Linked DNA regions of Lonchura striata. The protein of the gene in region 3 interacts with the protein of the main gene of each other region in a pairwise test. Links are inferred from orthologs where the notes say so. Each region holds a gene or a part of one and is shown on either strand. Other genes may lie near its edges. The genes, in order: COBL, ANKRD24, PACSIN1 and COBLL1.

Region 1 (7,027 bases), on a different chromosome or scaffold from region 3:
CAAAATCCCCAAAATTCTATGATTCTTACACTCAAGACTGCATCACTGTATTATAGCGATCAGCTTCAGTCCAGGTTATGTGGTTGTCTGCTGTATCCACTTTTAGCCACATTTAAAATAACCCAGTTTTTATGTCCTGGTGGCTGTTTAATGTCTTTTAATGCATTGTTCACAGAAACTTCACTTGTTCTATTCACATCATGTGTTTAAACCATTTCCCCATCTCTTTTAATGTACATCATGTTCCCACCCTGCATATGTGTTCTGAAATACTCTCTTAGACAAAAGGACCCTCCCTTTCCAGATTATTTTTACATGGCATGATGGTGCTCATTCTGCCCTGTGATTGTTGGTGCTGGGCCAGGACTGCATCACGCATCCTCTCATCTCCATGGTTTTTTGAAGAATGGGAGCTCTGGGACTTAAGGAAAAGGCCTAGCAATCCCTGAAAATCTAAATTCCTGTTTCTTTTTTTCCTTTTCACTATGGATAGCAAAATAAAGGAGTTTTGTGATCTTGAGGCTACACAACTCCAATTGCTATAATTACATAGCCAGGAATTTTACAATTGTGCAGTAAGTCAACTCTCTTACAGGGGCTAATGCTTAAATTGCAACTTCTAGATTGCTTCAAATGGGAAAAAGACTTATGCGGTTTAAAAAGTTTGCTATTAACTGAACCTAACCACAATAACTAACTTCTATTCACAATTTCTTCCTGCTATAAATTTGGGGTTGTTATGTTTTGCTTTGGTTTTTAGGCTCAAACCTGATTTCCAATTCTGTGATGGTCCTCAAACAGCTGAATCATAAAAAAATATTATGTGTTGGACTAGAGAAAAGACTTGGTTAACTGGTGCATACTAGCTAATGCTGATCTAATTTTAAGCTCTTTTTGCTATATAAACAAATTCTTTGGTATTAGACTTGTCTTACTAGATTCCTTACATGTTCAGTTACGTTTATACTACAAACTCAAATTCCTGAAATATTGCAGGCTAGTTTTAGTAGAAGAAAAATGTAGCCTTATTAGGTTGATTCAGTAATACTACTAGCAGCGAAGGTAGAGAAAAATATGAATAAGATTTTGAAAACTCTAAAAAGGCATAAATGTGAAATTGCACTGGTGCATCATTGATTTTTATTTTTTATTTGTAAAGGCCTAAGCTATTTTACTACAAGGATTTTATCATCCAAGTTAATTGATTTGCTAAGGAAATATATTGAAGAGGCCCATTGAAACAGAGATGAAGCTTTACAAACAGGAAAGGGTTAAACAAACTGGGAGTGCTAAACATGCCAATGTCACAATTTTATGACATTGGCAAATATTCATACAGCCCCTCTCCAAACTAATGCCCTTTGCCTTAACAAAGCAGCACAGCACCCCAGTTGTGGGGATTACAATGCACACTAGAAATAGCCCCTTTGCCCTTTTTAAGAGGGACACTCAGTGCCAAGCAGTCTAGAAAAAACAGATTCCCATGTTGCATCACACAGTGCACTCCTCACATTTCACTCAGCTTTTCCATCAGATATATGTGACTAAAGAATGGGGGACATGGACACTTGGCCCCATGGGTGCTCTGGAGACACAAGATCATGAGTTTGGTAATTAATAGGCTTTCACTCTTTTGATATGTTGTACAAAAAGAAGGGAACATAAAAAGCAAGTACTAGTCTGAGTGTTTTGTACTTTACACCTCTGCTCAGTTATATAAGGTTAGAAGTTACAGCTGAGTCAAAGTAAGTCCTTTTGGTGTAGTTTGCTAATGATGAAAATGGGGAAACATCTGGGTGTTTCTGCAGAGGTTTTTGTGCCTGTGCAGCTTTAGCAACTGTTCTAGAATAGGGAAGAGTACATTAAGATTTAGGAAAAAAAACCAGGAGACGAAAAATGACTGAACAGATGATGAACAGAGCTGTGAAATCAAGCTCACGTGATTTAATAGATGACCATTCATTCCTGCAGCTATGGAAACTGACAGCATGCAGTGGCTGAACCAATCCACATGCAAAATAAATTATGTAGCCTAGCCTATTTATTTTCATAACGGTGCAAATTAAAATCATGCATGTGGTTCATTACTGCGGCATGTATCTCAGATGACCAGGGTAATTACTGAACTGTGGTGACTCAGTCAACTTCTACCCATGGTAACAAGGAAATTAGAGATCAATGTTTTGCTTCTGCAAATTTGTGGTTTTGTTTCTTTACATACAACTAGGACAGGCAGCTGCCTCCCACAGGTACCTGCACATGTGGGCTTGGAGAGGAAGAAGGGCATGGAAGCCAGCATTCTTAGATGTCTGCTGAGGAGATAGGAATTAGGGGGAGACTTGAGGTTGTCAAAGTGAGAGAAGATAAAGTTAAGGATGATTATAGCACAAGAAGAGTTATGTTATACACTGGGGTAAATACACAGAATCTGGTATAATGCAAAAGCCTTGGTAGGCAAAAGTGGGCATTTACAGTGATATTCCAGTTTTCCAGAAAAGATGAACTTGTCTTTCACTCCTCTGTTACTTGCAAATTATCTGAATGTTTTGAAGTATTTTCAATCTTCCTGGGATGGGGTTTTCTTGCATATGGCAATGCCTTCAGCCACATGCACCCGTATTTGCCAAGTCTTGCTAGCTGAGGAAGCAGCTCTCGCTTTTGGAAGCAAAGAAGCTGCTTACATCTACTCTGTGTGGTTACTGAGCTGGGCAAGACACTTTCTGATGAACACAGTAGGCAGAAATATGAGCTCAAGACTGAAGGGATGGAAGGGTTTGAGGAAAGAGGTGACCATTAAGCAGAACAAGGCAGCCAGGTGAAATGCCAGGTAAGGCAAAAGCTCAGATCCTCATTCAGGTTTCTTACTGTAACTTCACTCAGCCGGTCTGACCTGCCTCTGCCATCCTCCCACCGTGGCCAGGAAAGCAAGATGACACAAATGGTGAGGAGCAGAGAAACTCCTGAATTACCTGGAGAAGCCAGTCTGTCCAACGCCGGGCACGCTGGGCTGAGGACACACACACAGAGCAGTACTGCCAGCCAGACTTCCCCACCTCCAGTCTGGTTTTGCTTTTACACACAGGTGTAGCAGTCGAATTCTGGGAAAATGATATAAGGGGGGATATTCCTAAAACGACACACACAGATTTTAACGCGATGCCCACGTTTCCACGAAGACTGTGCTGTTGTGCGCACTGCACCGCACGGGAAGTGGGGCTGTTTTTCCCATGCTGGGCTCGTTCCGCAGGAGGAAAAGCTGGGGAGAAGCCTGCCTTGCCGTGCCACGGCCCTCCAGCCCCTCTGCCTGACCACAGATGCCGCTAATTTTAAAAGTTGTGTGTGCCGCCTCCGAGAGAAGAAAAACATGTCCCTGTACGAACAGAAGTGACGAGAAACAGGCCTTAGGTGGCAGAGCCAGGGCTGGGCAGGGTGTGGGGCTGATGAAAAGCCTCCGCTCCCGGCGGGACTTAGTCTCGGGCACACTCGCCTGACAAGCTCTGGGTTTTGCCAAGTTCGTGGCAAAAGAGACGGAGGAGGGTCCTGGGAGCTGGCGCCGGCGGGGGTTTGTCGCTCCTCTCCCCCGCCTGTTATCCTATACGCTCCTCTCCCACGCCGTGCCGTGGGCGGCGTGGGCGGCCGCCCTGGCAGTGCCCGCGGGGGCGACCGCCGTGCTGGCGTTTGTGCCGGGCAGTCTCGTGGAAACCGGCTCGCAGCGCCCCCGCGCCCCCGCGCTGCCCGGGCAGCGGCCGGCCGAGCCCCGCCGCGCCGGCAGCTCCGCCGCCTGACTCCCGCCCCGCCGTGCCCCGCTGCGGTCTGGCCGGGCAGGCCGGGTGTCAGGGCCCGCGGCGCGGCGTGGCTTCCCTGCCGGCCGGGTAAGGCGGGCAGAGGCCGCCCCGGCAGCGCATCCCCGCCCGCAGCCCGCGGCCGGGCTGGGCAGCCGTGGGCGGCGGCGGCCGGGCAGTGCCGCCTGGCAGCGGGGCGGGGAGCGGGGGAGGTGGGGGCGAGGGCGGCTCTCACTCCCGTACTCTCCTCTCTTCCCTCCCTCTCGGTACCCCCGCCTCCGACCTTCGCCGCTGCCGGGATCGCGGCTTGCACCGGCCCGTCCTCTGAGAAGTGGCGAGGGGGCCCGGCCATGGAGACCCTCGTGCGCCCCGGGGCCAGCAAACCCCCCACCGGGTAAGCTCCCGCCGGGACCCGGGCCGGACCGGCCGCCGCTCCTCTCCACGGGCGGGAGCGGCTCCGGACGGCGACAGCGGCCGCGCTGGCCGGCGGGCCGCGGTGCCTTCCCTCCGTCCCGCCTGTCTCGCTCCCCTCTGGGCGCGCAGGTGTCGGCGTCCGGCCCGCTCGGAGCACAGCCCTGGGACGGAGGGGCACGGCGGGGAGCAGGAGGCGGCAGGGCGGTGAGCTCGGGTGCAAAAAGGTCAGGAGCAGGAGAACGTGCCTGCTTCGCCTTTGCCCTGCGGGAGGGGCGCCCCGGCCCGGCTGCCGGCGCGGCCCCTCCGGCTGCGAGACCGGAGAGCCGGTTCGGGTCGGGACTTGTTCCCTTCAGGAGGTGGTTCGGGGCGGCGCTGCGGGACGAAGGGCAGCCGCTGCTTATAGCTCCCGACCCGGGCCACCGGGGCTGGAAGGGACACTGGCAGGGAGGGAGCCGGGGCTGCGGCGGGGCTCCGGGCAGACCGGTCCGGCGGAGGGTCCGGGGAGCCCCCGCGGCCGCAGAGGTTCTCACCCATACGCCCCGTCTGCCCCAGCTCTAGGACTCAGCTGCCAAAAGCCTTTGAAAGGTTTATTCAGCTGTCCCAGACGTGGGTCTCAGCCCTACCTCACGGCTGCGGCAGAGGAAGGAAGAGCACTGCCAACCGCGAATTAAAAGTGCCCAAAATTGTCCGAGGTTGGTGGGAGACGGCGGTGGCTACTCCTAGTACCTCCTGCCTTGGGTGACAGACACCGTTCTCGCAGCACTATTGCTAAGTAGCGGTCAGCCCGAGTGCAAACCGCGGGAGGGTTAGGGGTTTTTCAAGAGAACAGACAAGTAGAAGATATGCCAGCAATGGAATTTGTTAGCCCGTTAATTAAACGACGAGAGCAGCAGCACGATGAGGTCCTAAGCGATCTCTTTTGTCAGAGCAAAAGCTGGGCAAGTTTTAAGAGCTGTGCTGTCTGCTCGCTGCAATTTACTGCTCTACTTCACACTGTGCAGACTGAGACTGTGAGTGCTTCAGCAGCTTTTTTTTTTATTTTTAGTTCTAATATTTATATCATAAATTTATTTTCAACAAAGTAGGAAATAGCTCAAAGTACGTGCTAGTGGGCTACAGTAGTTTTGTTCAGTTTCATTTCCTTAGTTTGTGTTTAATAGGGAACCTTGTAGTGTACACAGAAAGCAGTATAGGGAGCAACAAGTGAAGAAAAGATGCCATTGCTAGTGCCGTGGTAATGAAACAGTGTGTACCATGTTTCTTTGACGTGCAGAGTATGACATAGTTTGCTGCTCTTTTTGTAAATAAAATGCTTAATTCCAGCTGAACTTGAGCCTGTTTGATCGTGACCTTTTAGGCTAATCTTCCAGGAAGAGTGGTAGATGTAAGGTGCTTCCCCCTCTCTGTATTTAGTTGATGTAATAGTATAGCTGCTTTCTAAAATCCTGATGAAGAGGAGATCTATGGTGCCAATTTACATGTGTGCTTTGAAGAGTAATGCAGTGCTGACTAAAAATTTGTCTTGATTGCTAGGTATCCAAAGACTCATTAAAAAAATTTAATTTGCAATGGGAAGGCATGTCATTGATGCATTTCAGAGAGGACCACTGGGGCCTGTGGGCATTTCTGAATAAAACTCCTGAATCCTTTTGTAACCAGTTTCATCTGTGTCAACTTGTCCGCAGCCACACAGACCCAGAAATCCCATGCATGAATAGAAGTTATGGTAACTGCATTAACTTCAGTCATGTTGCTCCTGACATGGCTCAAGAAGACGAATCCAGCCGTAGGGTGAAGATGCACTTGTGATATTGTATAACAAAGTGTGTGGGTGCTAATCTGCTCATGTGGAAGCTGATGGCAACACTGTCATGTGCACCAAGAGGTGACTGCCTGTTTTATCTGAGCTCATTTCATCCTTGAATTACTTTGTGTTGCCTTTTCTTCCAAGTCAGACCTTCCCAGCCTGGATGTGTCTGCGCTGTTAGCAGAGTACTTCACTGAATGGTTCATAATTCCCTCAGTTTCTATCATCCATAATGGACACTGGTGGATGCTTGATCCCTAATCAGATTTTACTCACACATTGATGAAATCTGTTAGGGTCAGGAAAGTGCAGCAAAGTACAGCTTTGTCCTTTTCGGTTTCCATATGAATCCAGGCGTGTACTGCATCTGTGGAGTGCGGCTGAGGACCTCTGGCTGCTAAGGCCGTTGTGACAGAAATACCTTCCTTTCATGGCAGAAGACATGCTATACAAGTTTCCAGCTTATTGATTGGCTTAGCTTGCAGCTATGAAAGGAAGGTTAAAATGACCGTAGCTTCAAAATTTTAAAAAAATTTAGGCAGAGGTGTTTTGTCTTTATGTAATCATTAACAGCAACATTGTGACCCTCCTTTGTTAAACAGTGAACAAATTTAATGTATCATTTTGTGCAGGGTAGAGCAGCTCTGCTGTGTGCTTACACAGATAAATTGATTATGTGTGTTCCACGGTACAGTTCCTTGAGAGGTGCACATTTAAATGAAGGATACTGTTGGGTTTTTGTTTTGTGGGTTTTTTTGTTTTGTTTTGTTTTAAATGGCAAAGGAAAAACTGCAATTTGTGCTGGTGTTGCAAGGATTTTCCAATTTTTCAGTTTCAAAAAAAATTGCAGATTTCAGAACCAATAATTTTATTATTACTGATTGCTAGGCATAACTTTTTTAGAAGCTTTACCTAGTTCATAATGCTTTATTTAATGAACATTTATTTTGGTTTACAAAAGTGAATTTAAGGCAATCAGTAGCAACAGTAGAAATGACAATTTACTCTGTGATTATGCAATGGA
Region 2 (7,956 bases), on a different chromosome or scaffold from region 3:
TGGGGAGATTTAGAGGCTCAGAGCTCAGAGCAGAGGCTGGGGACAGCACAGGCAAAGGCAGCCCCAAACACCCAGGAAAAGGGGACACATCCCCGCAGCCTCTGCCAGCCCTGTCCGACGGTGGCAGGGAGCCCGGGGCGGCCCGGCAGCCTCACCGCTGGCCCAGGAGCGGCGCTGGGCCGCCTCTTGCAGGAGGTGCTGGATGAGGACGTTGCCTGTGGCCAGCCCGTAGTGAGCGGCGTCGTGGCCGGTGGCGTCCACCACGGCCACGCGGGCACCGGCGCTGACCAGCACCTCCACGGTGTCCACGCTGCCGCTCTCGCAGGCCAGCATCAGCGCTGTCCTGGGCACGGGGAGAGCGTGGGTGAGGAGGGAACCATCCCTGCGGCCGCCGCCGGGCCCCGGCCCTGCTGCCCCACCTGCCCTGCAGGTCCCGGCAGTTGACGGCGGCCCCGCGGTGCAGCAGGTACCGGCACAGCTCCGAGTGGCTCATCTTGGCAGCCAGGATCAGCGGCGTGGAGCCGTCCTGGGCATGGCAGGGGGAAGGATGAGCAGAGGAGACTCAGATCCTCCCGATATCACACCAATTTTCACGTCCCACCTCAATTTTCACGTCCCACCCCAATTTCCACATCCCACCCCAAGCGGTGCTGTGTTTTGGGACAGCCCCAGCCTGGCACAGCAGGACCAGGAGTAGTGTGACCCCACCTTGTCCTTGCTGTTCAAGGGAGCCTTGAAGTCACAGAGGATCTCGGAGCAGGAGATGCAGCCGCTGGCAGCTGCAGACAAGGACAGAGGCTGAGCGCTGCCCCTACGGGGACGTGAGCAGGACAGGGCTGGCACTGTCCCTACTCACCCGCCAGGTGCAGCGCGGTCCGGCCACTGCCATCGGCCACGTCCACGGGGCAGGAGGCCTGCGGGGAGAGCCTGGGTCACGGGAGGAGGGGGACAGAGGGACAGACTGCTCGAGTGGCTCTGTGGCACAATGAAGGACTGAGAGACTCTGTGGTGTGGTGAAGGAGAGGGACAGACAGACCAACCCCCTCTGGCTCCACGCTGTGCTGAAGGACAAGGGACAGACCCCTGTGGCTCCCTGGTGCCAGGCAGCAGCACAGAGCTGGGAACCACCATGCCTTGGCACTGGTGAGGGAAGGGGGTTCAAGGACAGGGAGGACACCGTGCTGGCACAGCACCTCCCTCCCTCCCTCTGTCCCTCCTCCCTCTCCCTGTACCTGCAGCAGTTTGCTGACACACTGAGGGTGGCCGTGCTTGGAGGCCAAGTGCAGGGCAGTGTAACCTGGGAAGGGACAAACAGGTCAGAGCATGGCCAGCAGGGCTGTGCCAGAGGGGACAGCTTAGGGACAGAGAGAGACAGGCACAAAGCAGGATCTGCTGGAATGGGGCTGAACAGGAAGGGAACGACCCCAGGAGCTCATGAAGCAATAATAGAGCTCCTTTAGGAAACTGGGACAATTTACAGCCCCCCAGGTGTGGCCACCACCTCTGTCCCCTCATCCTCAACACCTGGGGATGACCAGTGGCCCTGTGTGGCCCATGGCATTAGGCAGGGGCACATGGTGGCCATGCCCTCACCCGAGCTGTCCTTGGTCATGGCATCCACGCCGTGGGCCAGCATTGCTTCCAGGCAGTCCACATTGCCCCGCGTGGCGGCCAGGTGGAACCTACAGCGAGACCAGGGGCTGAGGGACTCAGAGGATGTCCCCTGTCCCCAGCCGTGTCCCCAGGGCAGGGCCTGGCACGCACGCGGATTTGCCCTCCGCGTCCAGCTTGGTGGGCACCAGGCCCTTGCGGAGCAGGAGCGACGTGACCCGCCCGGCATCGTTGTAGTCCACGGCCTGCAGCAGCTTCTCGTCGTTCTTGGTCCAGTCCTGGCTCTGCAACAGGGCCCAGAGGAGGCTGTGACAGTGTCAGCTGTGACAGTGCTGTCCCCAGGGCTGGGCTGGGCTGGCTCTCCTTGTCCCCAGCCCTGTTGTGCCCCTTCCAGCCCTGTCCCTGGGGGTGGCCGTGTCTGTCCCCCTCTCCTCCGAGCTCACTCCCAGGTACGGAGAGTTCAGCAGGGATTGGGATGAAAATCCCCTCCAGTCCCCCAGTTTGCAGCTCACAGAGTGGGGGATTTACAGACACAGCCCAGTTTAGCTGTGCCAGGCTGGGATTTGGGACTGAGCCCAACTGTACAGGGGTTTGCCCCTGCCACCCTGAAATCCCAGTACTAAACCCAGTCAGAACCCATGGGAGTCCCATTCCCAGCCCTGCTTTGCTCCCGGAGGAGGAAGGGATCAAACCAGGGCGAGCACAGCTGGCAGCGAGAGCAGATCCCCAGGGATGCCCCAGCCTCCCGGGATAACGGGGCACAGCGCTGTGCCCCCCAAAACAGGACCGCAGCTGGCTGGGATTTGCTCTCCCGGTGCTCCCTGTCCCGAAGGAGGACCCGCAGTGGGACAGGACCAGGACAGGGACTGCAAGTCCCGGGTTCACCCCACAGCCCGTGACGACAAAGCGGCGCTGGCTGCGCTCGCGGTGGCAGGAAATGGATGTCACCTTTCGGGAGCCGCTGGCACCTGTCCCAAACCCGCCTGTGCCCGCCGGGTGCCCCCGAGCCCCTCCAGCCCGGTGGGACCAGGCACAGGGAGCAAACCAGTCTCCCAGGGCTCCTGGCAAACTGGGAGGGTGGTGCCCGCTCCCCCCACTCCCTGGCCAGGCAAGGACAAAGCAGGATGGGGAGGACACGGGGAGCCCCGGGATGGGGATGGGGATGTGGGGTGCAGGTGGGGCGGGGGGGACACGGCTCAGCCCGCGGGACGCGAGCAGAGGGGAGCCGGGAGGGGAGCGGGACGTACCGCGAAGGAGGCGGCGGCACAAAGGCAGATCTGCTTCATGGTGCTGAGCAGGAGGCGGCGGGAGGACGCCATGCGCCCCCCGCTCCCCGCCCCGGCCGGCACGGGCACCCCCGAGCCCGGAGCGCTCCGGCATCGCCGCCCGGGCGGGGGCCGGGGCTGCGGCAGTGGGAGCCGGACCCGCCTCCTCCGCCCCCGGCCCTCCCTCCTTCCCTCCCTCCTCAGCGCATCCCTGCATCCCTGCATCCCTGCATCCCGCCTCGGAGCGGCTCCCAGGCAGGGCTGAGCATCCTGAGCATCCTCCCGGCCCCCGATGGGGGGACCTGGGACCCCCCAAACACCTCCAGGGAGGAACCCCGAAACGCAGAGGGTCCCCAGACGCTGTCCGGGCAGTCCCGCTGGCAGCAGGACATCGGGAGCCTTTCAGGGACGTGTCCAGGGCAGTGTGGGGAAACTGAGGCATGGAGCGCCCCGAGCAGGATGGTCCCACAGACTCCGGGTGAGGGGCTTCAAGCTGTGTCCCCATGTCCCCTGCTGTGTCCCTCCCAGTGCACTGGGGACAGCGCTGTCCCCCTCTGCCCTCTGCGGCCCCATGCCAGGCTGCTGCTGAATAATTGAGGAGCATCGACAGGCTGGTTCCACGGGCTGTGGCAGCTGGCAAAGTGGCACTTGTCCCCAGGAGGGGGACAGGGAGGGGACCTGGGATCTGCTTCCCTCTCCTTTGCTCTGCCCCACTCCCAGCGATGGCTCTGGGAGCACAGGGGGTGCACTGGGGGCTTGATCCCACCAGCCAGAGTGGCAGTGCCAACTTCTGTAGGACTGCTGTCCCCGTTGTGAGCGACCACTCCGTGTCCCAGGGCAGGTCCCCGTGTCCCCACAAACACCCTGGAGCAGGTCACCGTGTCCCCACAGACACCCTGGAGCAGATCCCCGTGTCCCCACAGACACCCTGCAGCAGGTCACCGTGTCCCCATGTCCCCAGGGATGGCACTCACATCTGCCTTCTTGAACTTGGCCTTCAGGCTCTTCATGGTGGCTCAGCCTCAGCCCCGTGGCAGCTGCTCGGGAGGGATGGCCACGCTCCAGGAGGGTCTGTCCCTGCCTGGGGACAGCTCAGCGCCCCCGGTCCCGCTGCTCCCAGCCCGTCCTGGCGTTCCCAGCGCAGCGCCCGCAGCCGGGAACCGGAGCCGGGGATTGTATTACGGCCGCGGCTGCGGTTACAGCCCCGGGCAGGCGGGGGGGGGCCGGGCCGGGCCGTGTTTGGGGACAAGGGACACGGCCTGGGGTGCTGGGGAGGGCTGGGCTCTGATGGTTGGCACCCCTTGCCCATCCCAAACACCCCCCGCCCTTGGTGGCACCTCTTGTCCTGACCTGACATCCCCTTCCCCACCCTGGCAGCCCCTGGTTCTGACAGCACCTCGTGTTCTTGTCAGCATCCCCTGCTCCTCCCTGGCACCCCTGTCCTTCCCTGGCACCCCTGCTCCTCCCTGGCACCCCTGCTCCTCCCTGGCACCCCTGTCCTTCCCTGGCACCCCTGCTCCTCCCTGGCACCCCTGTCCTTCCCTGGCACCCCTGTCCCTCCCTGGCACCCCTGTCCTTCCCTGGCACCCCTGTCCTTCCCTGGCACCCCTGCTCCTCCCTGGCACCCCTGTCCCTCCCTGGCACCCCTGTCCTTCCCTGGCACCCCTGTCCTTCCCTGGCACCCCTGCTCCTCCCTGGCACCCCTGCTCCTCCCTGGCACCCCTGTCCTTCCCTGGCACCCCTGTCCTTCCCTGGCACCCCTGCTCCTCCCTGGCACCCCTGCTCCTCCCTGGCACCCCTGTCCTTCCCTGGCACCCCTGCTCCTCCCTGGCACCCCTGTCCTTCCCTGGCACCCCTGTCCCTCCCTGGCACCCCTGTCCTTCCCTGGCACCCCTGTCCTTCCCTGGCACCCCTGCTCCTCCCTGGCACCCCTGTCCTTCCCTGGCACCCCTGTCCTTCCCTGGCACCCCTGCTCCTCCCTGGCACCCCTGTCCCTCCCTGGCACCCCTGTCCTTCCCTGGCACCCCTGCTCCTCCCTGGCACCCCTGCTCCTCCCTGGCACCCCTGTCCCTCCCTGGCACCCCTGTCCTTCCCTGGCACCCCTGCTCCTCCCTGGCACCCCTGTCCTTCCCTGCCATCCCGGCCTTTGTCAGCACGCCCTGTCCTTCCCTGGTAGCCACTGCTCTGCCCTGGCACTCCTGCCCTTGCCAGCACCCCCTGTCCCTCCTTCCTTCCTTCCTTGGCATCCCCTGCTCTTGGTGGCACCTCTTGTCCATCCCTGGCACCCCTGCCCATCCTGTGTCCCCCCGGGCAGGGGTTCAGTGCAGGTGGGGCAGTGTCCGGCAATGTCGGGGCAGTGCCAGGGCAGTCCCGGGCAGTCCCGGGGCAGTGTTGGGTCAGTCCCGGTTCAGTCCCGGTCACTCCGGTCAGTCCCGGTTCAGTCCCGGTCACTCCCGCTCAGTCCCGGGTGGTCCCGGGTCAGTCCCGGTTTAGTCCCGGTCACTCCTGGTTCAGTTCCGGGCAGTCCCGGGTCAGTCCCGGGTCAATGTCGGGGCAGTGTCCCGCAGTCCCGGTCACTCCCGGTCAAGTCCCGGGCGGTCCCGGTTCAGTCCCATGTTACTCCGGGTCAGTCCCGGTCACTCCCGGGCGGTCCCGGGTCACTCCCGGTCAGTCCCGGTCGGTCCCGGCCGCGCTGAGGGCAGTCCCGGGTCGGTCCCGGGCGGTCCCGGGTCAGTCCCGGTCACTCCCGGTCGGTCCCGGGTCAGTCCCGGTCAGTCCCGGGTCAGTCCCGGTCACTCCCGGTCGGTCCCGGGTCAGTCCCGGTCAGTCCCGGGTCACTCCCGGTCACTCCCGGTCGGTCCCGGGTCGGTCCCGGGCGGTCCCGGGTCAGTCCCGGTCACTCCCGGTCGGTCCCGGGTCAGTCCCGGTCAGTCCCGGGTCACTCCCGGTCACTCCCGGTCGGTCCCGGGTCAGTCCCGGTCAGTCCCGGGTCACTCCCGGTCACTGCCGGTCGGTCCCGGGCGGTCCCGGCCGCGCTGAGGGCAGTCCCGGGTCAGTCCCGGTCAGTCCCGGGTCACTCCCGGTCACTCCCGGTCGGTCCCGGGTCAGTCCCGGTCAGTCCCGGGTCAGTCCCGGTCGGTCCCGGGCAGTCCCGGTCGGCCCCGGCCGCGCTGAGGGCAGCCCCGCCCTGCCCGGCTCCAAGATGGCGGCGGCGGCGCGGGGCGGCCCCGCCCTGCCCGGCTCCAAGATGGCGGCGGCGGCGCAGGGCGGTCCCGCGGCCCCGCCCTGCCCGGCTCCAAGATGGCGGCGGCGGCGCGGGGCGGTCCCGCGGCCCGGCCCCTCCCGGCTCTTCCGCCGCGCGGCGGCCGCGCCGATGGCGGTGAGCTACGCGGCCGGGCTGTCCCCGTACTCGGACAAGGGCAAGTGCGGCCTCCCCGAGGTGAGCGCGGCACCGCCGGGGCCGTCCCCGCCCGCCCGGGGCAGCCCCCGCCCGCCCGCCGGGCCTCCCGCGGGCCCGCCGCGTCCCCATGGCAACCGCGGCCTCGGGAACCCAGCGGGCACCGAGCCCGCCGTGTGTCCCGAGCGCATCCCGCGGCTCCCTCCCCGTCCCCCTTCCCTGGGTGCCTGTCCCCGACACCCCATGGCTCCCTGGTCCCCCTCATGTCCCCCCAGGCCGCCCCCGGCTCCCTCGGCCCCTCTCTGTGTCCCCTTCCATGTCCCTTCTCCATGTCCCCTTCCATGTCCCTTCTCCATGTCCCCTCTCCATGTCCCCTTCCATGTCCCCTTCCATGTGTCTTCTCCATATCCCCTCTCCATGTCTCCTCTCCGTGTCCCCTTCCATATCCCCTCTCCTTGTCCCCTTCCATGTCCCCTTCCATTTCCCCTCTCCATGTCCCCTCTCCATGTCCCTTCTCCATTTCCCCTCTCCATGTCCCCTTCCATGTCCCCTCTCCATGTCCCCTTCCATGGCCTCCCTGACCCCACCCTGGTCCTTCCTTCTGCCCCCACAGCCCCCTTGGCTCCCTCCGTGTCCCCCCTGAGCCCCAGCAGTTTGGGAAGCCTAAAACGAGGTTTGAGGGGAGCCACAGGGACACTGCAGCCCGTCCTGAGCCCAGGGGATGGTGAGGGGACAGGGACACACAGGGTCCTGTCCTCGTCCCCGTCCCCAGAGATGGGGCTGGAGAAGTGTCTCAGGAATTAAATCCCGTGCCCAAACCAGCATCTGGTGTCCCTCGCTGTCCCTCGGCCCTGCCCTGTCCCCAGAGCTGGTGGCACTGCTGGTGACAGTGGGGCACATGTGGGGTGGCCCCGGGTGGCTCCTGGAGCCCAGCCTGGGCCAGCTGCCAGCCAGAGCAGCAAACTCCCTGTTGGTGCTGGGAGTTCCCAGCCCTGTCCCTGCAGCGAGATGCTCCAGGCAGCGTGGAGTCTCTCCTATTAAATGTTTCTGTCCTTAAGGAATGCAAAATCATTCATGGATAAGGAAGAATTGTGGGTTACTGGGCTTCTAGAATCATGGAATCCCAGAATGGTTTGGGTTGAAGAGACCTGAAGGATCATCCAGTGCCACCCCTGCCATGGCAGGGACACCTTCCACTATTCCAGGTTGCTCCAAGCCCTGTCCAGGCTGGCCTTGGACATCCCAGGGATCCAGGAGCACCCACAGCTGCTCTGGGAAATCCATTCCAGCGCTTCCCCACCCTCACAGGGAAGGATTCCTTCCCCATATAATCCATGCCCACATCTCTCCATCCCATGCTGGTTTTTGTGTTTTCCCAGATTTTTGACCCTCCGGAGGAGCTGGAGCGGAAGGTGCAGGAGCTGGCAGAGCTGATCCGGAGCTCCTCCCATGTGGTGTTCCACACAGGAGCAGGGATCAGCACGGCCTCGGGCATCCCTGACTTCAGGTAAGTCCGAGGGCTGGCAGGGTGGCACCTCCTCCAGGTCCATCTTCCTTCATGGAAAGCTCTGATTTATCCCAGACCCGCCCCATTCCTGCTGTCCGTCCTGGATCCAGCTGCAAACACCATTTTCCCTCTTGCACATCTCAGCTGTTGCCACAGAATCCCCACATTGTTTGCAT
Region 3 (7,153 bases):
GCCGGGATCGGGTTGCCCAGAGAATGCGACCCGGTCCCGGGGGGCTCTGCCGGCCTCCGACGCCGGCTCAGCTTTCCCCTAACAAGCTCCTTCGACTGCCTAATGAAGCTCGGTGGGGCTCTGCAGCCCGCCTGCCTCCCGGCTCCTCGCAGCTCCGTGCCACCCGAGCCAGCCCCCATCAGGGCCAGCCAGAACAGCCCCCGGAAGGTTTCACGCCCTGCTGCAGCTGGGGTGACACCTCGGAGATTTAATGTCCCCAGTCCCAAAGAGGAGTGGGATGGACGCTGGTTCCTTTAGGAGCGGGGGATCTTTGCCTGTTGGCGTTTCAGAGGGTGCTGAATATCTGGTCATGGTCCTTCCAAGCAGTGAGTTGGCAGTTCTCAGCACTGGGATGTCCCAGGCACCATCAGCATCCCTGCTGCAGAGGGATCCTTGGCATTAAACATCAGGTGACAAACGCTCTCCAGGATGGTGATGGGGGGACCTCAATGACTCGGGGGGTTCCCCAGTGCAAAGAGCCATCGCCACCAGCTTTGTGGTCTGCGCAGGTGGCACCAGCTCAGGTCTCCTTCCCTGCAGCTTGGGCTGCTCCATGCAGGGAGCAGGTGGGAGCTCTGCCTCCTCAGTTCCTTCACCAAAAACTCGGTCACGACAAACTTTTCCCCGGCTCTCACCATCCCACCGTTTACTGTTTTCAGTGGTAAGTCACTTCTCCTCCTGTAAATGAGTTTCCTTGTGGGAAGCAGCAGACGGTATTGGCAGGAAATAAGCCCTGATTTATGGGGCCACTTGCCGCTCTGGAATTACAGCTCCGTGAGCACAAACGGAGCACAGGAGCCCACACGGTGATCCCGGCGGCTGCTGGAGCCAGAGCAGGCAGGAATGAGGAGATGCCACCAGGAATCAGCCGCCTGCCCATCAGCCAGGCAGGAGTGCCGGCCCTCGCACGAACCGGGGGGGGTTTGAGCGCAGCCAGCTCCCCAGCAAGGAAGGGAAATGTGTTCCCTAAATCCCGGCAGAGCCCCGAGCTATGGGGCTCAGCTGCTTCTGGGAGACACGGGAGAGCCCATGGGCGGTCCAGGGAAGACTGGTGTGGATGGGGGCAGAGGGAATCCCAGGATCCCGAGCCCATTCCTGTCCTCCGCTGCCTCCTCCCAGGGCAGCTGGGGCTCGGGGGGCCGGATGGGGCCAGCGCCCCACGCTCGCCCCATGCCCGGGCTGCGTCGCCGCTGCGGATGTGCCGCCGGTCCCAGGAGCCCTCCGGGGAGCTGGGAGAATACAAGCGCTACTTTGCATCTCTAATTAGCCGCGGAGGATAATTGGCGGCTCTGCGGCAGACAGGCAGCCATTGTGGAGGGCCCCGCGCGGGGCAGGTGCTCCCAGAAACCCAAATCCCACCGAAACAATTCCCTTCTTGTCTGCCTGTGACCGGCCGGGGCATCCTCCGAGCCCTTCCGGGGAAGGGGCTGGGGCCGGGACATAAAGGCTCCATTTTTCCCAGGGAAGCAGCTCGGGGCTGGCTGCGGGCAGCTGCCCGAGGAGCCCGCACATTCCACCCACGGCCACAGCCGTGCTGGGGCTCGCTGCCTCCGGCCCCGCCGGCTGTGCGGGACACAGCCCCTGCAAGCTGCCGGCTTGGAGGCGGCCTCTCCTCCTCCAGCACCATCCGCAGGAGCTCAGCAGGTCCGGAGTTTGCCTTCAAGGTGTTGCACAAACGCCGGCCAGGCTGGCATCCCCGGGACAAAGTCTGTCCCCGTGCCACGCGCTGTGCTGGTGCAGCCTGGCTCTATCCCTGTGCCATCGCCGTGCCCTGGCAGGGACCGGCAGAGCTGGGGACAGGCCATTCCCAGCGAGGGGCATCCCACCCAGAGCCCAGCCCAGGCTCTGGGCTCGGGACAGCCCCGCTCGGTGCTGCCACGCTGTGCTGATGTCCCTTCCCTCGTGGCCCTGCCCTGTGCGCGTCACTGTCGGTCCCTGCCTGTGCCTGGGCTCTCTTCCCTCAATCCTTTCTCGGTTCAATCCCGCTCCCGTCCTGCCGCAGCCCCTCCGGCGGCCGCACACCCCGGGAGAGGAGGGAGAGGAAGCGGCCAGGGGCGACCCCGGGGCAGGCAGCACCTCCAGCACCGGCCGAGCCGCTGCCTGCTGAATTCCCCGATTTTCTCTGTGCTCCTGCAAAGGGAACACAAAACCCCAGGAGGTGGCAGGACTCTCAGGGCTTCATTTTCGGGGTCAGGCGCGCTGGCAGCCGCAGCGGCTGATCTCTGCCGTGCTGCGGCCGCGGCCTTTTGGCTTATTAGGGCTGGGGTTTGCCCGGGGAAGGCGACGCGGGGGCCGAGGGATGCGGGAGCAGCCGGGGAGGCTGCCGGGAGAGCTCTAATCCGTTTAGCGAAGCACTTGCTTTGCCATTTCCAAGGCAGGAGGTGCAGGAGCTGTGATCTGCTGCAGCAGCGACAGCGACAGCGTGTCCGGCCGGCGGGGACAGCTCCTGCTCCGCGGGCCGGGCCGGCTGATGCCGCGATTGTCGCAGCATCCTGCGGGTCACCCTGTGGGACACCTCCGTCCCAAAGGAAGAAACGAGGGGGTGACACCCAGCAAAGCCCCAGGACGGCACCGGGCACCTCCAGGAGCGCGGCGCATCCCTCGATCCCTCCCGTTCCCCGCCCGGCACGGTCCGGCACGGGTCGGGAATCACTTAGAACGGGTCGGGCGCGGGTTGGTTTCCCAAAGCAGGGCGCGGAGCCGGTTCAAACACCGGCGGGGACAGCGCTGTCACAGCGCCCCGGTCCCCGGCATCCCCCTGTGCCCCCCGGGCCAGCCGTGCGCCCCCCGCCCGCCCCGCCGGCCGTACCTCGGGGCCGCGGGGACAGCGGCGGAGCCTCTCCCGGGGCCGGCGCTGCGCATCGCGGGCAGGTCGCGGCAGATGGGGCGGAGGGAGGGGGTAAAGATCAGCTCGGAGATTAGGGCGGCATTTTTAGCCGACCAATCCCCGGCGCGGCGGCTCCTCGGCCGCGCAAGGTGACAACGCGCCCGCCGAGGGGATGGCGATAAACCCCGGGGCGCCGCGGTCCCTCCCGCGGTCCCCGGGCTCCGCTCCGGTGCTCCGAGTGCCCGCGGTGTTCAGGTGTCCGCTCCCCCCGGACCCCACACGGAGCGGGACACGGGAGGGACACCGGGGGGACACGGGGTGCGCCCCAGGGGACACGGCTCCGGTCACAGCCCCGGACGGGGTCGGGGGAATCGCGGCTCCCGGGCCGGTGTGTGCGGAGCAGAGCGCCCCGGTGCCTGCGGGAGCCCCGAGCCCTCGGGCCGGGCTGCGACCCGCGGCTCTCCGGGGTCCCGGGCAGCGCTTCACGGCGGGGGACAGCGGGCACCGCGGGGACTGCGGGTGGCACGGCCGGGGCCGACACGGGTGGTGGTGGCACGGGTGGGGATGCCACGGGTGGGGATGGCACGGCCGGAGGTGACACGGCCAGGGGTGACACAGCTTTGGGTGGCATGGCTGGGGATGGCACGGCCGGAGGTGACACGGCCAGGGGTGGCACAGCTTTGGGTGGCATGGCTGGGGATGGCACGGCCGGAGGTGACACGGGTGGGGATGCCACGGGTGGGGGTGACATTGTCGGGGGTGACACGGGTGGGGATGGCACGGGTGGGGGTGACACGGCTGGGGACGGGGGTGGGGGGGTGACACAGCCGGGGGTGACACAGCCGGGGACGTGGGGGATGGCACGGCCTGGGGTGGCACGGCCAGGGGTGATACAGCTTTGGGTGGCACGGCCGGGGATGGCACGGATGGGGACGTGGGGGATGACACAGCCCCGAGTGACACAGCCGGAACGTGGGGGGTGACACGGCTGGGGATGGCACGGGTGGGGACGTGTGGGAGGCGTGACACGAGTGGGGACGCGGGGGCGGAGGTCACCCGCCGTGCCCCTCAGGCACCGCGGCGGGCAGCCCGTTCCCCGGGCAGGAGGGGGCCTGCTCTCCGCGCAGGCAGCACGGCGGGCGCCCCCTCCCGCCGCCGAGGGGGTCCTTGGCGCGGCGGAAGCGGCGGGCCGGCGCACGCGCAGTCCTTTCCGGCCGGGCCCCGCCGCCGCCGCCGCCACGGTGAGGCCGCGCTCGGGCCATCGGCCGCGCATCGCCGCCATCCCGGGGTCTGGGGGCCCCCCGCCGCACTTCCCCCATCGGGGCTCCACGCCCCGGCTGTGCGGGGAGAAAGGGACCGGCGGCGCCGGGCCGCGGGGTGGGGTTGGGTGTCCGGCGCTGGCACCGGGGCGTCCCACCCCGGCCGCTGCCGCGGGGGTTCGGTCGTGCCCGAGCACGGACAGCCCCGGCCCGGTGGGTCCGGGAGCACCGCCCGTAGCTGATTTCCCGTGCTGGGGGCGCTGCCGGTGTCGGTTCCGGCTCCCGGTTCCCTGGTTCAGTTGCACTTAACGGCGGGGCCAAGCCGGGCTCTCCCCGAGCCTGCCCCACCTTGCCCGGTGTGCCCGACAGCGGGCGGGGGTGCGCGGGATGATTTACGGAGGAAACGCTGGGATTTCCCGGTTTCCCTCCCGGGAAGCGCGTCCCGGGGTGGCCCAGCACGGTTCCCGGTCCCCGAGCCCGTTTTGCTGTGCCCCCTGCAGATGTTGATGCCCAAGAAGAACCGGATCGCCATCTACGAGCTGCTGTTCAAGGAGGGCGTGATGGTGGCCAAGAAGGATGTGCACATGGCCAAGCACCCCGAGCTGGTGGACAAGAACGTGCCCAACCTGCACGTGATGAAAGCCATGCAGGTGGGGGGCTCTGCTGCTGCTGCTGCAAAATTAAACTTCACCATTGTAATGTGAATGAAAAATTAAACTTCATCATTCTAATAAAGATTTGTAGGGAATGGGTATGTTTAGCATGTTGGGACTCATTGCCCTTTAATGGACATAATGCATACCTCTGACAACTCTTGTTGATCTTTTTTTATTTCCTTTACTAATTTCTCTATGCATAGAATTTTACAATAGCTTAATGCATATTCATTCTGCTGATTTCACGTTATACTTACAGTTAGTTACACTTGTACTTAGTTTTTTCTATACTTTCTAACAAAAACTTTTGGGTCACTCTGCCGTGTCTGTTTTAAGATCTTAAGAGTCTTTTTTATCTTTTAGTGTGCAAAAGTGTGTTAGTAGTTTTGCTAGGCTGCAGTTACTAGACTAAATTTATTTAGCATATTTAGCAAGCTCAAAGTGGCACATTTTCTTGAAATCTGAATAGATTTTTACCTTATTCAATTTTCACTCTGTCTCACTGCCTTCTGTCCCCCTTCCCTGCTGAGGAGCTGGGAGAGGCTGGAACTGGGAGGAACTGGGAGTAACTGGGAGCTCTCCCCGCAGTCCCTCAAGTCCCGAGGCTACGTGAAGGAGCAGTTTGCTTGGAGACACTTCTACTGGTACCTGACCAACGAGGGCATCCAGTACCTGCGGGATTACCTCCACCTGCCCCCCGAAATCGTCCCGGCCACGCTGCGCCGCAGCCGCCCCGAGACCGGCAGACCCCGGCCCAAAGGTCAGCTGGGGCTGGGAAACGTGGGGGAAAATTCAAACTCCATCATTTCAATATTTATTTATAGTGCTGGACGCACGTGGGGACTTGTTGTTCTTTAATGGCTCGCTTTTGATAACTTCATTGATTTTTATTGCTCTTATTAATTTCTATACTCATAGAATTTTACAATAGGTTTGTGCATAGTAATAGAATTTTATATAAAAATAGGTTTATGCATATTCATTTTGTTGATTTCGTGTTACATTTCTAGTTAGTTACACTCGTATTTAGTTTTTGTTAGAAAGTATAGAAAGAACTCTTGGGTCACTTTGCTTGTTTAAAGGTCTGAGGAGTCTTTCTTATTTTTTATCTTTTTAGTGTGGAAATTTGTCTTTTTTTTTTTCTTTAGCTGGGGTAGTTTTATTAGTGTTGCAGTTACTAGACTAAACAGCATATTTTACTCAAACCATCTCAACTCAGTACCAAGCTCAAAGCGGTACATTTCACTTAAATCTAAATGGATTTCTAATTTCTACTCTGTTACATTTTTCCTCTCTTTCAGCTGGGCAGCCAGGGGTGGGCACAGGGGGCTGGGCAGCCAGGACAGTGCCAGACCTGTGGGGATTGGGTGTAAAATCGTGAGCAGAGCAAGGAAATGTGGTCGGGGTTTGTGTCCCACCCCAGGGATTGGCCTTCCCCAAGGAATGGGATGGGGATGTGGAGGAGATGTTGGAGCCCCACCTGGGCATCACCTGTGGCCAGTGGTGGGTGTCCCACTCTGCCTTCCCCAGGGACACTGAAGGTGCTCCTGGGACAGGGCTCCTGAAATATTTACCCCCACAGCACCCTGGAGTTGCTAGACAGCCCAGATCTGAGAAGGCTTTGGGGGAATATTTCAGGGGCAAGGTAAAAGATTCCAAAAGAAGCTCTAACCCCCAATGTAGTCCTAGACTTTTATTCTCAAAAGTTTCCAGGGGAGAAAAAGGGAGAACAAGGGAGAACAGAGCCTTGTCTAGACTCCTGCTCATGAAAATATAATTGGCTCTCAGCCAATTAGGTCAAGAAAGGAAGGAAAGGTTAAACTAACATGGTTACAGCTACAGGGGTCTCTGGTGGGGAAAAAGCCATTTCCCACAGGAATACAACCAGGTCCTTGTTTAAGGTGAACAGCAAACTCGTGGTGGAGGAGCAGCAGAGCTCACAAAAATGCTGAGGGGTTTGGAGCACCTCTGTGAGGAGAGACAGAGGGAGCTGGGCCTTGTTAGTCTGGAGGAGAGGAGACAAATCCCCACAGATTTGCCCAGGGCATGTACCAGAGGATGCTGCCAGACTCCCTTCAGCGCTGCCCAGTGGCAGGACAAGGAGCAGTGACCAGAAACTAAAATACAGCAAGTTCCACCTCAGCATGAGGAAGAGCTTCCCACTGGAGCAGCTGGGGGTGTGGTGGTCTCCCTCTCTGGGCACATTCCAGACCCACCTGGACACGTTCTTGTGCCACTGCTCTGAGTGACCCTGCCTTGAGAGGGCTTGAAGAGGGTGAGCTCCAGATCAGCCCCAGCTGCTCTGTGATTCTGTGTGTGGGGCTTGCAGCTCTGATTTTCCCTTGGTGGCTTTTCACACCCCAAGTGCAGGG
Region 4 (7,384 bases), on a different chromosome or scaffold from region 3:
AAGTGTGATGGGACTTCTGCATCATAGGTTTTGGACTCATCCTTGGAGGATTATGACGATAAGGGTCAGCTGTCTTAAGTTTTTACTTCGGCAGAATCATAAGATGGTTTCACTGAACATTACAAAACTGGCTTGGCATGTGTGGTTAGCTTATGCTAAAAAAGCATGCCATACAGATAGATATTTTTGTCTCTTTTGGATTTTTTTAAAATCATGTAGCACTTGGTTGTTCATGTGAAAGAGAATATTTGTGTTCTAAAAACAAATGACACGCACACAGCTGTGTAGCCAAGTGACCCAGAGAAAATGAGTTCCCATGATCTATGTGAATGTGCAAGTGATGGGGACCAGAACTTGTTCTTTGTCCAGTAGTTCAGTTGTGCCTGGCCTCAAGGGAACATGGAGTCATGCTCCTCATCCTGTTAACTTTCGATGGGAATGTAAGAATGTGCTTCACAGTGCTGACTAGGAATAGTTGTCTGCAGGGTTTTGTTTGTCTTTTTAAAATTTCTTCTATCTAAATTCTTGTGGGTTGTGCAGAAATTTGGACTAAATACTGATTTAGGAAGAGTGTTAAATTGTGTGATACTGCTGTTTTTACAAACTGGACATAAATGTTTTGCATTGCAGTGACAAGAGCTATACAGGCATTTATTTTCTGTCCTTTATGTTTTTGAACAAATACTTCTGTTCAAGGATAGTTGAAAAATGAAGGGAAGTATTTAGTAATCTGCATAAATAATTAACTTTGAAGTTCTGAGATACCTAAGATGTGAAAACATAGATTATATTTGTTTGGGTTTTTTTGTTCCACATTGGGTGAGACAGGGCTAGGATTGGTAGAATCCTCTCTTTGGTATTTAATTTTATGAGTCAAAATGTGACTGTTTCTTTTTTATTTTTTCCATTGTGGGATTGTACGTGTGTGTGACCTCCTGTCTAGAGCTGAAAATTCTGTAATGGCATATCAGAGACAGAGTGGTATTCCAGTTACTAATGTCCAACTAGGAAAGCTTAATGCACTGGCTAGTTTCTGCTGTCCAGAAGCATTATTCCAAAGCTGTGAAAAATATGCACAAATTAACTGTGAGCACTAATGTGCCTTAAATAAGGAAATTAAAAAAGCAGAAAAAACCATAATTCAAATAAAAGACATACTGGTTACTTCCATATGTCTTCTAAGAACAGTTTCCTCAAAGTTCATACTTTTAAGGATATGGCCTTGATGAACAATGTACCTACTTCCCAAATTTGTCCACTTTCATTTAGCTGTCGATTAATAATGGCATAAGTGTCAATAGAGGGACACAGACTAGTCTGTTGGAAGAATATTAGATTGCATCCAGTGTGTCCATTTTTTGTTTAAATAGTTACTCTATTAGAATTGATGGAGTTCACTTCCATTAGTTGCATTCAGCACATGACCTTGCAGTGTTGTATGTAAACAGTATCATAGCTGATGTTGAAGTGATGAAGTGACTGAAGTGTTCGAAGTACAGTTACTCAGTGTCTACACACCAACAATTCAGTAGAACCCCTTGCTCTCCCATTCCTAGAAGAGGAAATAATAACAGACAAATCTTGATATTTCCTTTGAGTTTTGTGGTTGGCTGGTGGTTTGTTTTGGTTTTTTTTGGTGATTTTTGGGTTGTGGTTTTGTTGGGTTTTTTTTTGTATGAATGGGAGGTGCCTTAATTACTTTTTGTATTAAATACATGATTCTTAAGCAATATTGACACCAGGCACTGATGTTTTGGCACCAAAATTAATTTATTTTTTCCAGGTCACTAACTTTTTAATTTAGTCTTTGTGAGGCAGAAACCCTTTATTAGCATGTGGAGTGCTTTAGTATGAGTCCGCGAAGTATACAAATACATGCTCAAATCAAATTTATATAGCTTTGGCAATCAATACTATTGCATAATCATCTGCCTTATCTAATGTTAAAGTCACAGCTATATTGGCATATGTTTTTGTCCATAAATTAATGTTATCACATCTAATAGCAAAATAATCTCCATATATAAATAGTTTTAAAAATACAGGGAGCAATCTCCTAGCAGGAAGACTGTGTTGGCAGTTGGAATAGTTGCCAGTCCACTCTTGAACTTCTGTCTGAGGGAAAAAATTTAAACTTTCTATTTTTTTAGAATTCTTTTCCTCTGGAATTAGAAAAACGATAGCAAATGAATTGGAGTTCTAATTTATTATGGTGCAACTGAACAAAAATACAATATTTGCTTATTTTCGATTGTTACTGATTGTACTTTCAAATTGAAAACTTAAATTGATCTAGGACTCGAGCAACTAAAATGGCTGTTCATAGTCATATAGTGTCTATTAGTTCAGAATCTACTGAAATACCAAATTTATACTTTGAAGGGATTTTTTGTTTTAGAAAGTAGAAAGTAACTTGCGATCCTGGATGACTTCCAACTCTCCTTTGAAAATTGGTTAGTTCACTAAATGAACAGGAATAGTACTTTTTGCAACTGTTTCTGCTTTAACTGAAATAGCTGAGATTTGAAATTTGAGAGAGAAGAAGCCAACAAAGCAGATTAAACAGACTTGTAAGTTTAGTTTTGAATTACTACTGTGCTAGTCATCTAGTTTGGATGAAATTAAGTATGATTCTTTTATATATGAGAAGGAAAGTGTTTTAAAAGCATATGATAGTTTTGAATGCTGTCTTAAGACTTTTTCGTATACTTTTTTAGAAGTTAATTCTGTCCTTCCTTTCAGAGGGAGATCTGTTTGAGATTTTGCCATCTCAACATTAATAAAAAGTCATGGTATAAAAAAAATTCTTTAGCTTTTCTGTGAAAATGCACATGCTTTGGAAAGATTTTTTTCTTAAATTGCTTCAGAATGAACTGACAAACCTAAAATAGTTATCAATTCCTAGCCTGTCTTTACAATAGCATTCTTGTGTTAATATTCTTAAATACCATTTTATTAATTTATAAAATACCCAGACATTTCTGAAGTAGGTGCCTCTTTTATGATGTGATTTATATTCTAGGGATAGTTGTTGCTGGAAAATACATTTGAAGGAAAACTAAAAAACCCCTCCTGTTTTATACAGATGGGATTAGATACGCTCTGATTTGTCTGGAAAAGAATAAACAGCCAAGTAGTTTCAAAATACATCTTACTTGCAGTGCCACCCTGTGGCTTTCCTTTTCATGGCTTCTATTAAAGCAACTGGTTTTTGTTGTCTCATCCCCAGTGGGAAAGTTACTTGTGAACTTATAAAATAAAATGTCTGTGCTCCTAGCTGTAGACCTGGTCTAACCAGGATAGTACAGCACTTTTTTTTTTTTTTTGGCCTATCTTTAGCATTATTTGTCCTTGCTGAAACCTTCTTAGATTAAGAACCAGAAAGAGAATTTCTGAGCAATACCAGTTCATTCACCTAGTGGATCAAATCACTAAGCAATGCCTGGTTTGGTCATTGAAAAGGAAAGATCACACTGGAACTGGAAAGCAAATGTGTCACTTCTCAGCAGTAACTTGAAGGGCTATAATAATTGGTCTTGTTCAGTTCCAGCAATGTTACATATGCAAATATTTTATTTCCAGGTAGTCAGTTTTCTAGACAGATAGTTTAACTTTAAAATTAGATTGTCTAGGTAGACACAATACTACTTGTGGAGATATTTTATTTTGTATTCAAGACGTCTGCATTTTTGTTGATTTAAACTGAAGGATGTCAGAGCAACTTTGCTTTTAAAAGCAGTGTTATGCTTTGAAGTAGTAGTGCTTTGCCTTGCACCATTTTACAGAGTTGCTCAAATCGTGGCAGGATAAGTACTTGAATGCTTAAGACTGGTTTTCACATATAGGAAGTAATATAATGTGGAAGATATTTCACAACAAGCAAGCACGTAGGAAGTAACTTTTCAGCGCTACCCCTGCTTGGCATATCTTGGAGACGAAAAGCTTTCCTTCCTCACAGCCAGCTTAGGTTTAGTAACATCTCTAAATGAAAGGCAGGGTTTTACTTGTCTTTATTTTCTTGCTATTACTCTGTCAGGGAACAGCAGAACAGCCCTGCTGCCCAGGTGGGAGCAGTGACATCCCTGCCCAGCGGGGGCCTCGGCAGCATTCCCTGGGCTTACGGCCACTGCCCACCACCTCTCCCCAACACCCCTAATGCTGGCCTGCCACTCCCTGGCGCTTGGATACGTATTTGAGTCGGTGCTCTTAGTGTTGTAAGAGTCGTTATTGTAGCAGTTTGACCATGCTTTCAGGATTTTCTAGCTGCAGAAGTGTTCATTTGAACAAAGGACGCTTGCCACGCGTGCTGTGCGGTTGGGCCGCTGGCGCTGCCCGGGTTCAGTGCCTGCCCCAGAGCCGCTCGCGCTGTGCGGAGGCCGGGCGAGTGACTAAGGGACAAAGCAAGTCTGGGCTGGCAAAGCCGCAGCAGGCGTTACTGAGACACCTCTGCCTTCTGCGTCCTCACTGAGCGCTCTGTTTTCAGCAACAGAAATGAAAAATGTCAGACCATGGTAAGTCTCAAGCTATATACTTTCAATGTGTCTAGGCTTTTTTTGATAAGCAAGTGCTTACATTTGTCTCCTAATTACAAAAGTTATACTTGGTCTCTTTTGGGAAGTGAATGCTTCTTTTTCCAAATTAACATATTTTGTGTGTAAATTGTAAGTAGACCTGTATGAACGTGTTATCTGAGCTCTTGCAGAACCTTAAAACCAGCAGTGGAAATATCTGATGCTACAGTCCATACTCGTAGTTGTACTGTTTGTTGGAAAGTTTTGTAGAAAACGCTGGAAAGTGAGAGATAAAAATGCAGTTTTCTTCTTTCAGTGTTGTCAGGATGATTCCATTCTTTGTAAAGCAGGCTTATGTTTTTTTATTATATTTATTATAAATGCAGTGTGTATTTAAGCAAGATGATGAACAGAAAGCTTACACAGAAACAGTTAAAAACTGTACTTTATTTTTGTCAAACAGTTTTGAGTGTCATAATACTTGCAGTTAAATACACATTTTGGTGAGTCTGGATTTCCACATAGGAACAACCAAAGGTAGAAGTGGATTTGAGCAACAGGGACAGAGAAGTTTTTGATTACTTGTCTTTACTTAGGAAGCTTGTTTGGTCTTTCTACTGCACATCAAGCTTCTGAGGTAGTGGTAGTGTGTAAACTTAAGTGTCTGTGATTTAAGTTGCAGACACTTATATAATAAGTGTATTAATATTATAAATATATTATATTATTGCAGAAGTCCTTCAGGCTTCAGGCTGCTCTAAATTGCAATGGAAGGAACAAGTTAATTGTACTTTAGATTTTGGGTTTTGTTTTTAAAATGACTCAGGTATAAGTCATGGACAGTTCTGATTACTCCTTAAAACAGAAGACAGACTATGGAAATGTTCACATAAATGTGCGTTCTTTTGTATCACAGGTCCTGACTTGAGTCCTTCCTTTATTAGAATTTTGCCTGGCACAATGTTTCCTTCAGTACTACAGATCACAAAAGAACTGTAATTTTTTTCTTAAGAAAGTTTATTTCAAAACTTGTATACTTGTATCAAATTCTCATTAGTCTTAATTTTAAATAAAAGCCCTGTTAGTGTTTCTAGTGGCTTTTCACTAGGAAAGAAAATTGCTGCTTGCTCTTGAGAAAGTGAAATTCATGGCTGTGCTGTAAGCCCTGCCATATCCTTTTGATAGGTACTTAAAAACCCAAGGAAAAAAAATTTTGATACATTCTGTTCCTTGGATTCTGGGATATGCTGTCTCTAACTTGGACTGTTTGATGTTTTATAGGAAAAAATAGTGCCAGAAATAGTCACTTACTGTAGCTGTTTGCCTTTCTGTTGGAGGCTTGCAGTGTTTACAGGGCTACAGTTAAACACTGAGTCATAAACACTTGGTATATTGTATTCCTAAATTCAAAACTAGATAATGCAGATAAAGCAGACCAAATGTTCTGTGACTGTAACCATAATAATGTAATGCTTTTCTAGCAGCACATCAAGACAAGACTCCTGGAAACACTGGTGAACTTGCTGTGGTATAAGAGGCCTATTACTGCTACTGAGTAAATATATTCCTTTCTCTCTCTCTTCTTTTTCTATTTTTTTCCCTTTTGCATTTTGTAGAATTTCAGTGTTTATAGTCCACACAAATGGAAGTGTTTGAATATTTGTATCACCCCCTCTTTTAATCTTTTCTGGGTAGGTAGAAAATCAAGGGCATGGTCCAGTTACGTGAACAGCTTTTTAAGAACTTGGAATTTATTAGTATACAAAATTTTGTTAAGCATTTCTATGCCATTACACAGAGCAGAAGTCTGCACAGGCAGTACAGCACTGTGTGATGAGCTGAATGCCCATGCAGTGAGGGACAGTTACGGAGCAGATTATCTGGAGTGATATCATGTGGCATGTACAGGACACCCAGGGGATCTGTCAACCAACATGGTTTTGGTAAAGGTAGGTTCTGCTTGACCACCTTATTGTACTTCTGTGACAAGGTCTAGTGGATATTGCTTCCCTGGGCCTTACCTGGCCAGTAAAGCTTCTGATACCATTTCCTATGGCATTCTCCTGGGAGAATCTGTGGCTGCTGATGGCTTGGAGGGATGTACTCTCTGCTGGGTCAAAACCACATATAATAGAGACTGAATGCACTTGCACTTCTTTATATTAACCTAGAATTAGGGTTTGAAGCAGAGAAAACCAAATGAGCCTTTAAAACATTTTTTTGGTACAAATAACATTTTCATCATGCTGACCTGTTGCGTTTTACCTTCTTTGAGGTATTTTAAACTGTTTTGTAATGGTACCATATAATCTCTGCTTTATCTAGAATAAAGACTGTATTTTGGAAGGCATATTTCCTTATATTTTTTTTCTTTGTTAATTTGAGCTTTCTTCTAAAGAATGATAGAATTCTCAAACATGATTAGCTGCCCCTTCCAGAAGCTGGTGTAGTACACTCCCAGTCTCTGATACTGATACCAAAGATAGATGCTTATCTGAATTAAGAAGGTTATGTGCGTGCGTGTGTGCGTTAAGAAAGAATCGTATTGTTCTTCCTCATTCCTGTCTTGTGGGTAACAGGGAACCTGAGCCATGTTCCTTCCCACACGCCATCTTTGTAGCAATGGACTTTTGCTCCCCAGACAGCCTCTTACCCCTCTGGAATGAAGATCCTCACGTAAATCAGTTTCAGCTTCTGTAAAACAAAACTCTTATCTGAGTTGTTTGATTTCATCATTAAAATGGGGAGGACTTTCTATACAGATTTTAGTATTTATCCTTGTAGTACAATTAACTGTATAATTTTTCCATTGTCTTGTGTTCACTTCACTTTGAAGAAGTACCTAAACTCGCATGACAAAGTTTATAACTGTA

What was found.
Region 1: the proteins of PACSIN1 (region 3) and COBL interact in binary tests that used the Homo sapiens proteins (3 or more experiments, as listed by UniProt). The link is inferred for Lonchura striata from reciprocal best matches to the Homo sapiens genes PACSIN1 and COBL.
Region 2: the proteins of PACSIN1 (region 3) and ANKRD24 interact in a two-hybrid assay, tested with the Homo sapiens proteins (2 studies listed by BioGRID and IntAct). The link is inferred for Lonchura striata from reciprocal best matches to the Homo sapiens genes PACSIN1 and ANKRD24.
Region 4: the proteins of PACSIN1 (region 3) and COBLL1 interact in binary tests that used the Homo sapiens proteins (3 or more experiments, as listed by UniProt). The link is inferred for Lonchura striata from reciprocal best matches to the Homo sapiens genes PACSIN1 and COBLL1.

What each region holds. Positions count from the first base shown.
Region 1 is NC_134603.1:68,806,059-68,813,085, forward strand, and holds the start of COBL (protein cordon-bleu), read left to right. Parts: upstream 1-4,022; 5' UTR 4,023-4,132; coding exon 4,133-4,176; intron 4,177-7,027.
Region 2 is NC_134630.1:6,746,345-6,754,300, forward strand, and holds the start of ANKRD24 (ankyrin repeat domain-containing protein 24), read right to left. Parts: upstream 3,002-7,956; 5' UTR 2,931-3,001; coding exon 2,859-2,930; intron 1,896-2,858; coding exon 1,765-1,895; intron 1,683-1,764; coding exon 1,594-1,682; intron 1,298-1,593; coding exon 1,233-1,297; intron 915-1,232; coding exon 857-914; intron 780-856; coding exon 709-779; intron 527-708; coding exon 420-526; intron 344-419; coding exon 156-343; intron 1-155. Other genes in the region: SIRT6 (NAD-dependent protein deacylase sirtuin-6), read left to right, coding at 6,250-6,315, 7,653-7,780. UniProt on the Homo sapiens protein: Component of the stereocilia rootlet in hair cells of inner ear.
Region 3 is NC_134632.1:4,264,812-4,271,964, reverse strand, and holds the start of PACSIN1 (protein kinase C and casein kinase substrate in neurons protein 1), read right to left. Parts: upstream 3,001-7,153; 5' UTR 2,849-3,000; intron 1-2,848. Other genes in the region: RPS10 (small ribosomal subunit protein eS10), read left to right, coding at 4,626-4,775, 5,370-5,541. UniProt on the Homo sapiens protein: Plays a role in the reorganization of the microtubule cytoskeleton via its interaction with MAPT; this decreases microtubule stability and inhibits MAPT-induced microtubule polymerization.
Region 4 is NC_134610.1:18,264,647-18,272,030, reverse strand, and holds the start of COBLL1 (cordon-bleu protein-like 1), read left to right. Parts: upstream 1-4,382; 5' UTR 4,383-4,508; coding exon 4,509-4,511; intron 4,512-5,992; coding exon 5,993-6,066; intron 6,067-7,384.